Linked DNA regions of Daphnia pulex. The protein of the gene in region 2 interacts with the protein of the main gene of each other region in a biochemical or structural test. Links are inferred from orthologs where the notes say so. Each region holds a gene or a part of one and is shown on either strand. Other genes may lie near its edges.

The links.
Region 1: the proteins of COP9 signalosome complex subunit 5-like (region 2) and mothers against decapentaplegic homolog 4-like form a complex in vitro, tested with the Homo sapiens proteins (2 studies listed by BioGRID). The link is inferred for Daphnia pulex from reciprocal best matches to the Homo sapiens genes COPS5 and SMAD4.
Region 3: of the proteins of COP9 signalosome complex subunit 5-like (region 2) and cullin-2-like, one has a biochemical effect on the other in vitro, tested with the Homo sapiens proteins (3 studies listed by BioGRID). The link is inferred for Daphnia pulex from reciprocal best matches to the Homo sapiens genes COPS5 and CUL2.
Region 4: the proteins of COP9 signalosome complex subunit 5-like (region 2) and macrophage migration inhibitory factor-like form a complex in vitro, tested with the Homo sapiens proteins (2 studies listed by BioGRID). The link is inferred for Daphnia pulex from reciprocal best matches to the Homo sapiens genes COPS5 and MIF.

What each region holds. Positions count from the first base shown.
Region 1 is NC_060024.1:13,713,985-13,717,980, forward strand, and holds the start of mothers against decapentaplegic homolog 4-like, read left to right. Parts: upstream 1-1,192; 5' UTR 1,193-1,426; intron 1,427-1,494; 5' UTR 1,495-1,510; coding exon 1,511-1,642; intron 1,643-1,697; coding exon 1,698-1,802; intron 1,803-1,864; coding exon 1,865-2,039; intron 2,040-2,101; coding exon 2,102-2,392; intron 2,393-2,466; coding exon 2,467-2,670; intron 2,671-2,744; coding exon 2,745-3,032; intron 3,033-3,105; coding exon 3,106-3,221; intron 3,222-3,294; coding exon 3,295-3,431; intron 3,432-3,498; coding exon 3,499-3,937; intron 3,938-3,996. Other genes in the region: sialin-like, read left to right, coding at 49-221, 285-356, 428-658. UniProt on the Homo sapiens protein: In muscle physiology, plays a central role in the balance between atrophy and hypertrophy. When recruited by MSTN, promotes atrophy response via phosphorylated SMAD2/4.
Region 2 is NC_060026.1:5,023,663-5,026,918, reverse strand, and holds COP9 signalosome complex subunit 5-like, read left to right. Parts: upstream 1-1,344; 5' UTR 1,345-1,412; coding exon 1,413-1,552; intron 1,553-1,612; coding exon 1,613-1,847; intron 1,848-1,905; coding exon 1,906-2,100; intron 2,101-2,160; coding exon 2,161-2,358; intron 2,359-2,422; coding exon 2,423-2,680; 3' UTR 2,681-2,740; downstream 2,741-3,256. Other genes in the region: transmembrane protein 65-like, read right to left, coding at 3,076-3,256. UniProt on the Homo sapiens protein: Probable protease subunit of the COP9 signalosome complex (CSN), a complex involved in various cellular and developmental processes.
Region 3 is NC_060021.1:10,405,352-10,409,527, forward strand, and holds the start of cullin-2-like, read right to left. Parts: upstream 2,805-4,176; 5' UTR 2,442-2,804; coding exon 2,122-2,441; intron 2,059-2,121; coding exon 1,949-2,058; intron 1,890-1,948; coding exon 1,649-1,889; intron 1,591-1,648; coding exon 1,344-1,590; intron 1,283-1,343; coding exon 149-1,282; intron 60-148; coding exon 1-59. Other genes in the region: solute carrier family 25 member 46-like, read left to right, coding at 2,973-3,120, 3,192-3,301, 3,359-3,537, 3,673-3,729, 3,816-3,961, 4,024-4,160.
Region 4 is NC_060025.1:8,984,191-8,986,609, forward strand, and holds macrophage migration inhibitory factor-like, read right to left. Parts: upstream 1,115-2,419; 5' UTR 1,034-1,114; coding exon 926-1,033; intron 856-925; coding exon 604-855; 3' UTR 505-603; downstream 1-504. Other genes in the region: uncharacterized protein LOC124202754, read right to left, coding at 1-57; cysteine-rich hydrophobic domain-containing protein 2-like, read left to right, coding at 1,489-1,646, 1,751-1,961, 2,025-2,141, 2,209-2,259.

The sequences.
Region 1 (3,996 bases), on a different chromosome or scaffold from region 2:
ATAATTTTGGGGCATTTCTTTTAAAATCAATTTGTAATAAAAAACAAGGTTTCCTGCTACCGGCCATCAGCTTCTTCGCTGTTGGCCAACTGACGTCCGAATGGCGCTATGTGGCCGTTTTCTTATTGGCTTTGACTCAGGCCGGTAGTGAAATCGCCATCATGGGCGGTTTTATGTTCTCCAACATCGACCTGGCCCCCCAATACTCTGGCGTCCTCCAGGTGATACATGTTACACAACAGTTTTGACAATTTCTATATTAAATTATGGATTGATCGTTCAAGGGCATCTCGAACACGATAGGAACCGTTCCCGGGTTCGTTTCTCCCATCGCCATCGCCTATCTCACGCCGACGGTACTCGATTCAATTTTTATTGACTTTATTTGTGATTGTAATCATTCTGTTTTTATCTTGACTTGACAAAGGGGACGGCGGGTGAATGGGCCAACGTTTTCTACATCAGCGGATCTCTTTATGTTTTGGGGGCGATGATTTATCTCATTTTCGGGACGAGCGAGCGACAAAAATGGTCCCACCACCCAACTACTCCGAAGATTATTACAACGGCCGCGGCCGAGATCGACGACGACGGGAAAGAAGACGCCCGCCAATTGTTTCAATCTCCCGTTCCGTCTAGCCGACCGGAGATTTCATGAGAATCGTTTTCTTAATTTTTTTTTTACTTTTTCAATATTGTTGAAATTCATCAGAGCATTTTATAATACGGCACGACGAAGAGTGAACAAAACTACGAATTTAATTTCCACGTTGTTTCTTATAAAATTGAACCACTAAAAGACAAAATTATTTAAAATACAATTTTTTAAATCATCCTAATGGCGAATTGTAATTGGGAAATCATAAAAACCAGATTGAGAATAATGAACAAACAAAGAGGACGCGACCTTCTTTATAAAAGGAGTGGTTTTTATATGCGAATGACTAATCGGCCACACCTTATATCATCCAACATCACCACACCAACTGATCTAAGTAGGAAATTCAAAGGGAAAACGAGTTTTGAACTTGGACTTGTTTTGAACGCCATAAAAAGGACAATTGTTGGACTCGAGATATTATTATAAGAAAGTGGAGGGGGGGTGACACGGTATTTTAGCCTGGAGGGTAATAATTTTGCTTTGAATTTTTCGTTTGGCGCCAGACAGTCGCCGGAGATCTGGCAACGTCCACCCGTCACATCATGGAGTCGTAGGTACAAGGCGTTTTTGTGTTGATCAAGTTTTAAGCAGAGCAGATTTAGAAAATTGGCACGTTACGAAAGTATTATGTGATTGTCGTGCAATACAACACTTGAATTTGTATCGTTCAGTCTGTCAACTCAGACTTTGATATTTTTGTTTCGTTTGTATTTCGAAAAAGTTTGACGTTAGCGAGGTGGCAGGATTATTTAATCCGCCCAGCAGGTATGTTTTCAAATATATCAACCCTGACGGTTAACTAATATAACGTTTGAAACAATCATGTCATTCAGATAAGGGAAGCCCAGGATGGCAAGCAGTTCACCCACCAGTGCTGATGCCTGTCTCAGTATCGTTCACAGTTTGATGTGCCATCGTCAAGGGGGGGAGAGTGAAGGTTTCTCCAAGCGTGCCATTGAGAGCCTTGTCAAAAAGCTGAAGGTAATAACTATTCTGTCGACACATTTTCTTAACTAATAACGGGACCTTGTTCTAGGAAAAGAGAGATGAACTTGACAGTTTGATTACTGCGATAACCACCAATGGAGCACACCCCAGCAAGTGTGTCACCATTCAACGGACACTAGATGGGAGGCTGCAGGTAATTTTTCACTTACACCTTTTGCATCAACACATCATTCCCTAAAACAATCAAACTTTTAGGTGGCTGGAAGGAAAGGATTCCCACATGTTATCTATGCCAGAATTTGGAGATGGCCTGATTTGCATAAAAACGAGCTAAAACATGTCAAATTTTGCCAGTTTGCTTTCGACCTCAAATGTGATTCAGTTTGTGTGAACCCATATCATTATGAACGGGTTGTTTCACCTGGAATTGGTAAGCTGTTTTCTAATATTTATAAAATGCACTTGCATTACGTCATTTTATTTGTATTGTAGATCTCTCGAGCCTGAGTTTGCAACCATCTGGAGGAGCTTCTTCATCTGGCGCAATGGTTAAGGACGAATATCTTTCGCGAAGCATGGATATAGATGGAAGTGGCGTTGGCCATTCTCAACCTCAAATGGGAATGGGAATGTCGACACCTGGTGTATCGGGAGTCGTTCCGCAAATACCTCCTCCGTTGCAGCAACAGCAGCCACCGCCTCAGACGATACAACATCATGGGCCTCCTCCTACTCCCACCTTTTCTTCCATGATGCCACATCCGTCGCAAAATCAAGGGCAATGTAAACAGCATTTCATTGTGCAACTGTCGATTGCGTAACAATGATGAATAACAAATCGGTTCGCCTTTTTTTAGTGCCGCCTAGTAGTCCCACCAGCCCTCCTCATAACATGCAGCAGCAGCAGCAAGTACAACAACAGCAAGTGCAGCAGCAGCAACAACAGCAGCAGCAGCAAGTGCAACAACAACAACAGCACAGCATTCCCACACCTACTCCGCAAGGGAATGCTTCATCAAACGATCATCACCAAGTCTTTTTCGGAAATGACATGCCTCCAAGTAAAAAACAAAAGCTTTTGGCTTTACAGGAAAAAACGTTTATGCGATGCTAACTTTCGTTTTGTTTTCTTTAGGTTCAGGGAATTTGATTCCCATGTCACCTCACAATCTCCAGCAAAACGGGTTCCAACCGCTGACTCCTCAAAACTCAGTTGGTCAGCAACAGAGTTATGTTCCACCACAAAGTGTGCCTCCTCCTCTGGTTGCTATGAGCAATCAACCCGTTGTGGGCTCTGGCCCCGTACCGTGCCCGCCTACCGGGGCTGGTGTCAGTGGACAGGGAACCTGGACAGGCAACAGCACTTTAACGTACACCCAAACGATGCAACCCCCCGATCCCAGGAATCACCACCCGAGCTACTGTATGCAATCAAAAACATGATTTCATCATCTTTGAAACGTCAAAATAATCCACCGCTAACAATCTTTTAACAGGGCCCCATCAGACACCTGCAGTGCAGCAACACGATTTGGGAGTCCAGGCCGCTCTGTCCTCGCAACCTGTGCCCGAATTTTGGTGTTCGGTTGCCTATTTCGAATTGGACACGCAGGTTAGCTGAGCGGATATTATTCGATATCCAAATCAGTTTTCAATTTCAGTTTTTTTCTTTTTATTCCGTCTAGGTGGGAGAAACGTTTAAGGTTCCGTCGTCTTGTCCGACGGTGACTGTTGATGGATACGTTGATCCCTCGGGCGGTGATCGCTTTTGCCTAGGAGCCCTGAGCAACGTCCACCGAACTGACCAGAGTGAGAGGGCCCGGTAATTTTGTTTTCAAATGTTTCAACTCCAATTTCATCTCATATTTCGTCGTCGCTTTTTTCTTTAGTTTGCATATTGGCAAAGGAGTACAATTGGATCTGCGAGGAGAAGGAGACGTTTGGCTGCGTTGCCTGTCGGATCACAGCGTGTTCGTTCAGAGCTACTATCTGGATCGAGAAGCCGGCCGAGCTCCCGGAGATGCCGTTCACAAAATCTATCCTTCGGCTTACATCAAAGTGTTTGACCTGAGGCAGTGTCACGGGCAAATGCAGCAGCAGGCGGCCACAGCCCAGGCTGCTGCCGCCGCCCAAGCTGCCGCCGTAGCTGGACACATGCCCGGATCGAACAATGTTCCCGGAATGCCCCCGCCAATTAGTTTAACGGCCGCGGCCGGCATCGGCGTAGACGATTTGAGGAGACTTTGTATTCTCCGGCTCTCGTTTGTCAAAGGATGGGGTCCCGACTATCCACGAAACTCAATTAAGGAAACCCCTTGCTGGATTGAGGTACCATTGATTTTTCATTTACCCTCGGTCGGAATTCTAATTGTTCGCCTTTCTGTCCG
Region 2 (3,256 bases):
TGCAAAGCCATCGTATCAAAAAATCGAACTTTGGTGCCATCGATGAAATACTGCTCTTTTATTCGCGAACGGTCATAACTTACATTATGTCCTATAACGATACGCTCTTTTTGATCTTTGAGAGGGAGACGGTCTTGTTCCGTTTTTGATTCCAAGTTGATCAAGTCCTTTAATTCATAAATACTTTCCATATCCTTCAAAATTGAACTTTGCACCTGTCAAGTAGGATAATAAAGCATTGATATAGGGTGAAAAAAGTATTAAGAAAAATAAAAATAAACCTTATTTTCAGTAAACAGCTGATTACTACACCATGAGTACCAGTAGTTTTTTGAAACTGCAGTTGCAAGGGTTGGCAAATGGCCCTCTTTCACACAGACTTCCACATCAAAGACATATGCATCCTCTTCTGGAAAATGAACTAGATCCATCTCTCCATTTTGGTTGTATCTTGTCCATCCAGGTGCAAAGTTCCAGACTTGAGGGATGTCTGGAATGCAATGTGATGTCAAATCTAACAATTTATTACGGTAACTTCCACATTGTTTTTCAGCAATTTTTTCAAAGTGTTCTGCTATGTTTTTTCCTAATAAAGTTGGGAGCTTCAAATCAATATCTGGGAGTTTACTTGGTGATTTGCCATAAAGATGGTGAATTGATAAATGCTGCTGAATTTTTAACAGCGTTTCTTTAGATACAGAATTGTTGTTTTCTTTTTCGAATATCTGTCGATGGATAGATCTTGATAACATTTGTATACCACACGGATTAATAGTAACACATTTGTTTGAAATAGATACTTCTTCTTTGCATTGGCTTTTTGTTGAAAAATGTATTCTATAATTATGAAGAATATTTAAACTAGATAATGAATATTTCCAAGGTATTTTCCTACGGTTATGTTTAATTTGCCACACTCGAAACGAAAGCATGTTTGGAAACAAGTTTGAATTTGTTTATCGGGCATCGGCAACTCCACGGTAAGAAATAGTAAAACGTGGGAAAAAGAGTAGATAGGGATTTAGTGGTGAGGCAATGGACAATGGACTAATGGAGTAGGAGAAGTCAGAAGTACTGAAGTAGCAGTCGTAGCAGACTAGGCAATCGCAGTCGTCCAATCCATCCCTGAGGCTGAAATCCTACGTTTTACTTTGTTCCTACCACCGCCGCGACCCGCATTTTACCTCTTCATTCTCCCAGCAGCTCCCAGTATGCCAAAGGCAAAACAAGACCCGTAGGTCGTAGTCTCGTAGACGACATCAACAGTCGATGAGATTTAGTTTCCGGCTGTACGTTTGGATTTGATATATTCAGCACTGGTATACCTCGTTCGAATTTCCCCATTTGGACTTTAGAGTGTCTTTTGCAAAAAGAGGTTTCAAGTAAAATTGGTTGTGTGTTCCACATCCAAGATGAGTTCACAATCTAACATAGCCCTGAATAATTGGCTCATGGCTAATAATGTGGAAAATATTAGTTCAGTTGACGAAATTTATCGATATGATAGAAAGCAACAGCAAGACATGTTGGCTGCTAAACCATGGGATAAAGAGTAATATTATTTTTTATTTTGTATCAAGTCATGTTAACAACTTTACGTTTTATGTTCTAGCCCTCATTTCTTCAAAGAGATCCGTATATCAGCCTTGGCATTGTTGAAAATGGTTACTCATGCTCGGTCTGGAGGACATCTAGAAGTGATGGGATTGCTTTTGGGCAAAGTAGATGCAAACACAATGGTGGTAATGGATGCATTTGCCCTGCCAGTTGAAGGCACAGAAACCAGAGTAAATGCTCAGTCACAGGCTTATGAATACATGACTGCTTACATAGAATCAGCTAAACAGGCAAGTACATTTGCTCTTGATCACATTTTTAAGTAACTAATTGGAATATGAGTATTAGGTTAATCGTCTTGAAAATGCCATTGGATGGTACCATTCACACCCTGGATATGGATGCTGGCTATCAGGAATTGATGTTTCTACCCAGATGCTTAACCAAAATTTCCAGGAACCCTTTGTTGCTATTGTTGTAGATCCTGTTCGTACTATTTCAGCTGGCAAGGTGTGTCTTGGTGCCTTCCGTACATACCCTAAGGTGAACAGATATATTTTTCTATCAAGCGTACAGAGTAGTTTACTTTTTATTTTTCCTTAGGGTTACAAACCCCCAAATGAAGAGCCAAGTGAGTATCAAACCATCCCACTCAATAAGGTTGAAGATTTTGGTGTCCACTGCAAGCAGTACTATGCCCTTGAGGTTTCTTACTTTAAATCAGCTCTGGATCGCCGTCTATTAGACTCATTATGGAATAAGTACTGGGTCAGCACATTGAGTTCTTCATCTCTCACCACAGTAAGAACAAATATTCAAAGCGTTATATCATGTTATAAAAAGTATTAATATCTCTTTTTATTAGAATGCTGATTATACAACAGGTCAAGTATCGGACCTTTCGGAAAAACTTGAGCAAGCTGAAAACTCTCTAGGACGGGCGGCTCTAGTCGGAAGCGGCGTTGGTGTGAGTGGCTCCAGCATTGAGGATAGAAGATCGGAAGATAGGCTAGCTAAAGCAGCTCGTGATGCTACAAAAACTTCCATTGAAGCTCTTCATGGTTTGCTGGCTCAAGTAATTAAAGATCGTCTGTTCAACCAAGTGCGTTCAAGGCCTGCGTGAACCATCTCGTTTTTCTAAATATCCTCTGAGAATCCTTAATAATAAACTGGCTTATGCATACCATTTTGTTTGTGTTTTCTGTGAATGAGTTACCAAGTGTTAGAATATATTGTATTGAACATGTAAAATTCTTTGGCTATATCTCTAATAATGGGGTCAAGATTGAACAGCAATTGTGGGCAATATAAATAATTGTTATGTGAAGAATCTCCACGTTAGTTCATCGGAATGCTCAAAAATGTGCAAAACAATAAGAATCGAACATTAAAGTTGCCAAGTCGCAGTAGGATCCATTGCCATTGCGCGGCAAAATGTCATTTTTATGAGTTTAAATAATTATTTTAGGTTCACGTATTTGTAAGGTTATAAGACTAATAATATATCGGACATGCCAATCACAAATGAGATGAAGGGTCCTTTGAATGCCGTTTGCTGTCAGATGTAGGTAAAAATAAAAGTGGTACCATTCCAAGCACACATCCTATAGCAACACCAATAGCACGTCCGATATTAATGGCCCAAGTAGTTGATCGAAAAGCATATTGCCGAGGCTCGAGATCGGGTTGAGGAATTCCT
Region 3 (4,176 bases), on a different chromosome or scaffold from region 2:
TGAATTAAGACCATGTGGCGAAGAATCTTCCTAGATTTCATGATTCGAACGATTGTAGCCTTGGAAAGCCAAATGAAAAAAAAAAAAAAACTTTAGTTTGTTTTCGGATTTCTAACGCATTACGCTAAAATATTCGTATAATTCTTACCTGAAGGTACATTTTCCTGTCTTCGTTTACAGAAGAATGCGTCGTCTCGGTTTCTTGGACAGTCTCCTTTTGGATAGTGTTGTTAATACGAAACTTGGTTCGTTTGTTACTATAATCCATATTGAGGGAAATGACTGTAGATGGTTGGAAAACTTCGACAGTGTCACTAGTTACTGCCAAAAGCTTTGAGTCGACTAAGCTCTGAAGGACCTTTTGGAATTGATCCGAGTTAAGCTTCGTGGCTTCCATGAGTTCTCCACAAGTCACGGAATTGGTCTTTTGAAAGACAAGAAGCATTGCCATTTGGAAGGTTCCCATGGTGATGAAGTAACGCTTTTTCAAGTAGTTCAGTTTCAGCTCTCCGTAACTCAAGTGATGTAGCCATGCAAGCTTCCGGCCGTTAAACTGTAGACGATAGAAATCTTCAAATTCTTGGACCGATTTTTCCAACTCTTGGGGTACGGCGAAATCGGTAGGGCAGACTTGTCTAGGCCACGCACCGGTTTGCAAGACATAGATGGAGAAGTTGAGACCTAATTCAATCATCCGATCTTTGTTCAGCAGATTAAACTTGTTGTTCAGGTCTGATGAGACGGACATGTCCGTGAACATTCGATGAAGTTTGTTGGTAAACTCATATCCGCATGCCTGTTTCAATCGGTTGATCATTGCCTCTTCAGCGTCCATACTTTGACTCTGTTGTGAAATCAATCGATGTGCCAACTTCCGTGAGTAAAAAGCTTGATAAACATCCTTGTCGTCGATGTACTTGAATACAGTAATGCACTGTGTTAACTTATCGTCAACTTCGGTGTCACTACCGCCTTTTGTTGACTTCTTCAAGAGAGTATCACAATACTTGGCAAGTAGTTCTGGAGACCTACAATTTTGTTTAGTATTGAAGCGATGGTTGACGACTGCAGCACAGGCCATATCTAGAGCGCTGCTAAATAGCTGATCATTACTGAAAACAGTGTTGGTGATCTCCTTGTACTTGGAGTGGACACTAAGCATGCCCTCTACAAACTGGGCAGCAATGTTGTCTCCTGACAGGTTAGTCACTGTTCGCAATCCTTGTTGTTTGATGTGTTCCATGACGTGCGACACCAGAACAGTCAAACCTCCCGGAATCGACTGAACAAATTTTAGAAAACAATTAAAATTTATACTACGAGGCAATAAGATAAGCTCTCACCTTCAACAACGCGTACGCATTTCGAAGATCTTGTTGGAGTTCTTGTTGAACCATTGTCGGGCACTCGTTGTGGATAGCCGCCAAGTGATCTGCTACCATTCGTTTTTCGCATTCAGTTCGAACTTTACTGTAAGAGCTTGGGTGCAGGAATTTCCGACTACGTAAATCTTCTTCGTCCCGACGTTGCAAAACTTTTTCCATATACAAGGAAATTGTGCATTCCTGTAACAAGCGACTAGCTTCTTGCCTAAATTTGACCAAACAACTGTAATATGCAAATTTTTAACATTTTAATTATTTCTTACTTGTAGTATTCACCGGTCGCTTCAAGAAATGGCCCTTCAAAAACAGCCTCATAAAGTTCGAGGGTGTTCTTCTTCTTGTATTCCTCGACTGAAACAAACGACTGAATCACACCCTGAATTGTTGATGACTTTTCATTATACAAAGATTGTCCAGTTCGGTCACAATGTATGCCTCCCAAAAGTAATCTCAGCAAGTCGGCTTTCAATGGCTCTATCATATACTTCTTCCACAAATCCAAACCTAGCAAGCAAGTTTCGATAAGGATTCAGTACACCAAAAAAATTACAAATAGTGATTACCCAATTCTCCGATTTCTTTCATTTGTTCAGGTGATTCATAAGACAATGTCCCATAAAGAAGCTCGGCATCAGATGCTTTTTGTTTCTTGATGTGTTGGGTATTAAGGTATCTGTATTTGAATTAAAAGCATGTATTAACTTGTTTTATTAGAGAAAAGAAATGAATAAATTACGAGTAAAGTTTGTGCAAATAGTCCATTCCTTGGCTATATTGCTGCCAAAGTGTGTAATACACAGTCAGAAGCTGTTCTTCACTGGTGCCGTTCACTTGGATGAAAAGAGATTTAACATGCTCCTCCAAAAACTTTTTAGTTTCTTGGTACAATTTCTCAGCTAAAGGTTCTGGGTAAGCCACGCAGAGGGAATACACATCACTGAATCGATTGTACCATATAGTATGAGGAACATTTCCCAGAGTTACAACACCTTTAACTGTTTCCTTTAAATCAGCCCAAGTTGTGGTAAAGTCTACACGCTTCGGTTTAAGAGACATTTTGTGCAGTTATTAGAACAGCTGAATCAAAGTCCAAAAAGTGGATCATAGGAATTTTACAAAAAAAGCCAGAGTCCCTATTTCCAAGTTCAACGGGAGAAAACCAAAACTGATCTTCGTACAAACGATCATGCAATGACTACTGGCAATAGCAATGAAAAGACCTTAAGTTATTTACTTGTTTTTCGTATCGTAAATGAAGGACAAAGTTTCAGATTCCTTGAATAATCAATTTACTCGAGAATCTTAAGACCCTGGGGTTAAATAAGAATACAATTGGTTTCACAGAACAAGGATTCTGAAGATTAATAAAACGATTGCGCAGTGTGGGTTCGTCTGCTCTGGCCCCTTTGGCCTTCGCGAAGAAACGGAAAAGTTGTTTAGTTTATCATCAGATGGCAGCTCATTATTAGTAGTTATTCGTCTGCTGCGTATCACGAAAGAAAAAGTTAACCATAATACGAAAATAGTTTGTTTTTTTTTTACTTGGAATTCATAAACATTAATATCAAATCAAGTGTACAGGTTAGTATGGCTGGAACTGAGGACTACTCGTTCTATTACAGTTTAGAAAATTCTCCCTTTTGGATAAAAAAAGCTGATTCTGCTGCTTCTGCAGTAACTGATGGTAGGATACAACATGAAAACAAAGCTATTACGTCGCCGAAATATAGATATGGTATTAACAGTGACTTTTATCATCACACATTTTTTTGCAATGACTTTACATAATTTTTATTTTCTTGTAAGATGATATGATTGATGCAAGTAGAATCCCAAATCCCAGTTTTGGTATTATGAGACTAGCAGCTGAAAATCTACTATGCCATCCATTTTTAGTTCTGCGAAGACAGTGTCAGGTGAAAAATTCTTTACGTTAATTTGATAGTAAATTTTTTAATACTGCTTATCTGTAGGTTAATGTATTTTCTAGAAAATACCATACACTACCTTTCAGCTTGGTCCCAGTAGTCATTAGGCTACACCAAAGACAAAGCATGACTGTGTTATGGAAAGGAATTGGCAGTGCTTTAATTGTGAGAGGTCTCACATTAGCCATTGAGGATGTACTGAGCAAGATAACACCATGGCCAAAGTAATTTAGCATATAAAGTGGCAAATGTTGCCATGTAAGCTGTCCTCTTGTGTTCATTGAAATAGCCAGTGTGTGTTTATATTTAGACTGACAGAATATTCACTTGTTTTTGTTTTTTTTTTCTTTTTTTTTTAGAGAAATTGATCGTAACAGCTCATTGAAAGCAATTGGACACCACATCCTCTTGAAAAGGTATCACAAAAACACATTGAAATTGTCATACGACAATTATTAGCAGATATCTAAAGAATTTTTAAATCTATTTTTTGGTTCCCTAGCGTTTCCCTAGCTGTCGTGATCCCATTTTATGCAGCAAGTGTTGTAGAAACTGTTCAATCTGATATTGCAAGTGAAAAGCCGGGTATCTTTGATGTTTTTCAAGAAGGGATTTATAGGTTCTTAAGCTGGTCTGCCCCCCAAACAGGTAAAACATTTTTCCAAAATATTTACTAGGATTCTCTATTGCATCATTTAAAATATTTTTAGGTCGATTGTTACCAATATGGATTATTTTGTGCCCTGCTGTTTTATGTGGGACGGTTCATTACATCGTCTCAGTGCTTTCAGCGGGATTGACTCGCTGGGGAATGACCTCAGCTAAAAAACGAAGCCAGCGTAAACAGGTAGGTTTTTGTAGTA
Region 4 (2,419 bases), on a different chromosome or scaffold from region 2:
TTCTAAATCCTCCTCTTCTTCACCGTCAACAGGAGCATCAGAGTCTGAATCTGACATTATAGATTCCTACTCTGCTTATACAGTTTCGTTTGCCAAGTTTTGAAAGCAAAAAAAAACCTTAGAGAAGCTAAGAAGACTACTGCTCACTGTCACTGGCTAAATTCGTTTTCATAGTCAACCTACTACAATAAAATGCTGGAAGCGCGCAAAAAATCAAAATTTCATAGGAAAAATCGGGAAAAATCCAAAAATTACATATTTGGAAGCGCTGTTAAAAACAAAAATAACGTCGAAAATAACGTCTGAAAAATGCCAAACGTTAGCGTTATCAGTTAAGTTAACGAACACCAAAAAAGGGCCGTTAACGGACTTTTTACGTTATCCGTTATCGTTAACGAAAATCACTACTTCTTTCTCATCACATCAGACAAATTATGAAAAAAAGCTTGCTTTGTTACTTTGATTAATAGCCTACCTACCGCATTTTCTTGGAGAACAACCTTGAAAGAAAAACAAACATCCTAGAACAAATGAATGCATAATTTTTTTGGGTAAATTTTTTATTTCTTATATTAGATATCAATGACAGCTGTGAATAAACTATCAACCAAGAATATCATGGAAGGTTGTTTTATCATATCCAAGATCAGCAGTTTTAACATCTTGGAATTCAATGTACATGTGATTGGGAGCAACACCTAAATGCTTCTCAACATGTTCACCAAGTATTTTTGAATAGCTTTTATTTTCATTGACTCCAAGTTTTCCAATACTCATTAGATGGGCAATGGCACATGGCCCCTCTTCTCCTCCCCAAATCATCATCTGGTCGGGAACAATTGTCACAACACAGTACTAAAATCAAAAAATAAAATTTCTTGCTCTGTCTTTAAACAAATTTGTAATGTTTTGATGTTATACTTACACTTTCAGGTTTACCCAGCATTTTAGCAATCAATGCAGAAGTCTCTTTCAAAAAATTACTTGGGATTGAACTTTTTGAAACATTGGTCGTGATTTTTAAGTGTGGCATTTTCCGTTAGAATTAAACGATTTGATGTTAGGTAATCAATCAAATCACGAATAACCCCAAGTACCAAGTTACAAGAGTAGTCTGCTAGGAAAACTTCCAAGAAATAGCTGATTTATGTGACCGCTGCTAGATGGCGTGCAAGTTCTTTGTTTTCCCGTATTAAATTAAATTAAAAATCAAAATAACTCGTAAAATAGATAGAAATTACACTTAAATGAATGTGTACTAAATATAAGATTATTTGTGTTATGTTTTATAAAAATTGATCTTGTATAAAATGTTTTTTTATGTCTCCCATCCTCCAAAATAATAGTTTATGGATATGGTTATGGTGTAAAGAATGAAAGTTGAAATCAGCTGTTTACTTGTTTAGTAGAACAGGATGAACGACTGCTGTGGAGTGTATTTACGAGTCTGATTTGTTTGAATGTATTTGAGTCGAATGTATATCAATAATGGCCAATGCAGAAGACCTGAACGCGATTTCGACTCTTCATGAAGACGTTTATCATGGAATTCATTCAGACAATGGAGAATGGGTCGATTTGCTCACACATCATAGAGAACCTGTTCGAGATCCGGTTGCTATTCGAGGTGCTGGGAATGTTACTGTGTAAGTGAAATCTGTCTCTGACATATTTTAGAAGTCGTCCGAGATGAGTAAAAAGTAAAAACTACCTGAAATTTAATTATCTGTTATTGCCTATTTTCATACAGGTTTGGACTTAGTAATCGTTTTGACACAGAATTCCCATCTGCCCTGACAGGCAAGGTCGCTCCTGAAGAGTTCAGCGAAACACTTCAGAGAATAAATTCTGTCTTGAAAAAAACTCTTCCAGTGAATGTTAAGTGGTTGTTTTGTGGGTGTATATGTTGTTGCTGTACTTTGGGTTGTTCACTTTGGCCTGTAGTTTGCCTCAGTAAAAGGGTAATGAGCGTAAAGGTTTCATTGACATTCCACTTGTGCTAACAATTTCTTTTCTTTCATTAGACAAGGCATGCACTTGAGAAACTTCTTGACTGGGAAAATAGCCACTTGTACAGTAAGTTGGGATTACATTGGAGGCTATCTAAACAAAGATGTGACAGTTCAGCCATGGTGGAATATGTAAGAAATGGAAAACGTTTTCACTTCTTTATTTTTTGGTATAATACTTGCCATGTTTGTGATACAGGTGCTATTGGTCGAATTTGTACCTCGACTTCAGATTCATCGTCCCGATTAACAGGAAATGGAAACTCAAGGAAAATTGCGCACAATTTTGACTGCTCATTGTTGGATGTCGTTTCTTATTCTTCATCATCGGCCAGAATTGTCTGTTATAAATGGTCTTTCTTACGCTTGTACTTTTCCTCCGAAAGGGTTTATTTGTCAGTATGACAACT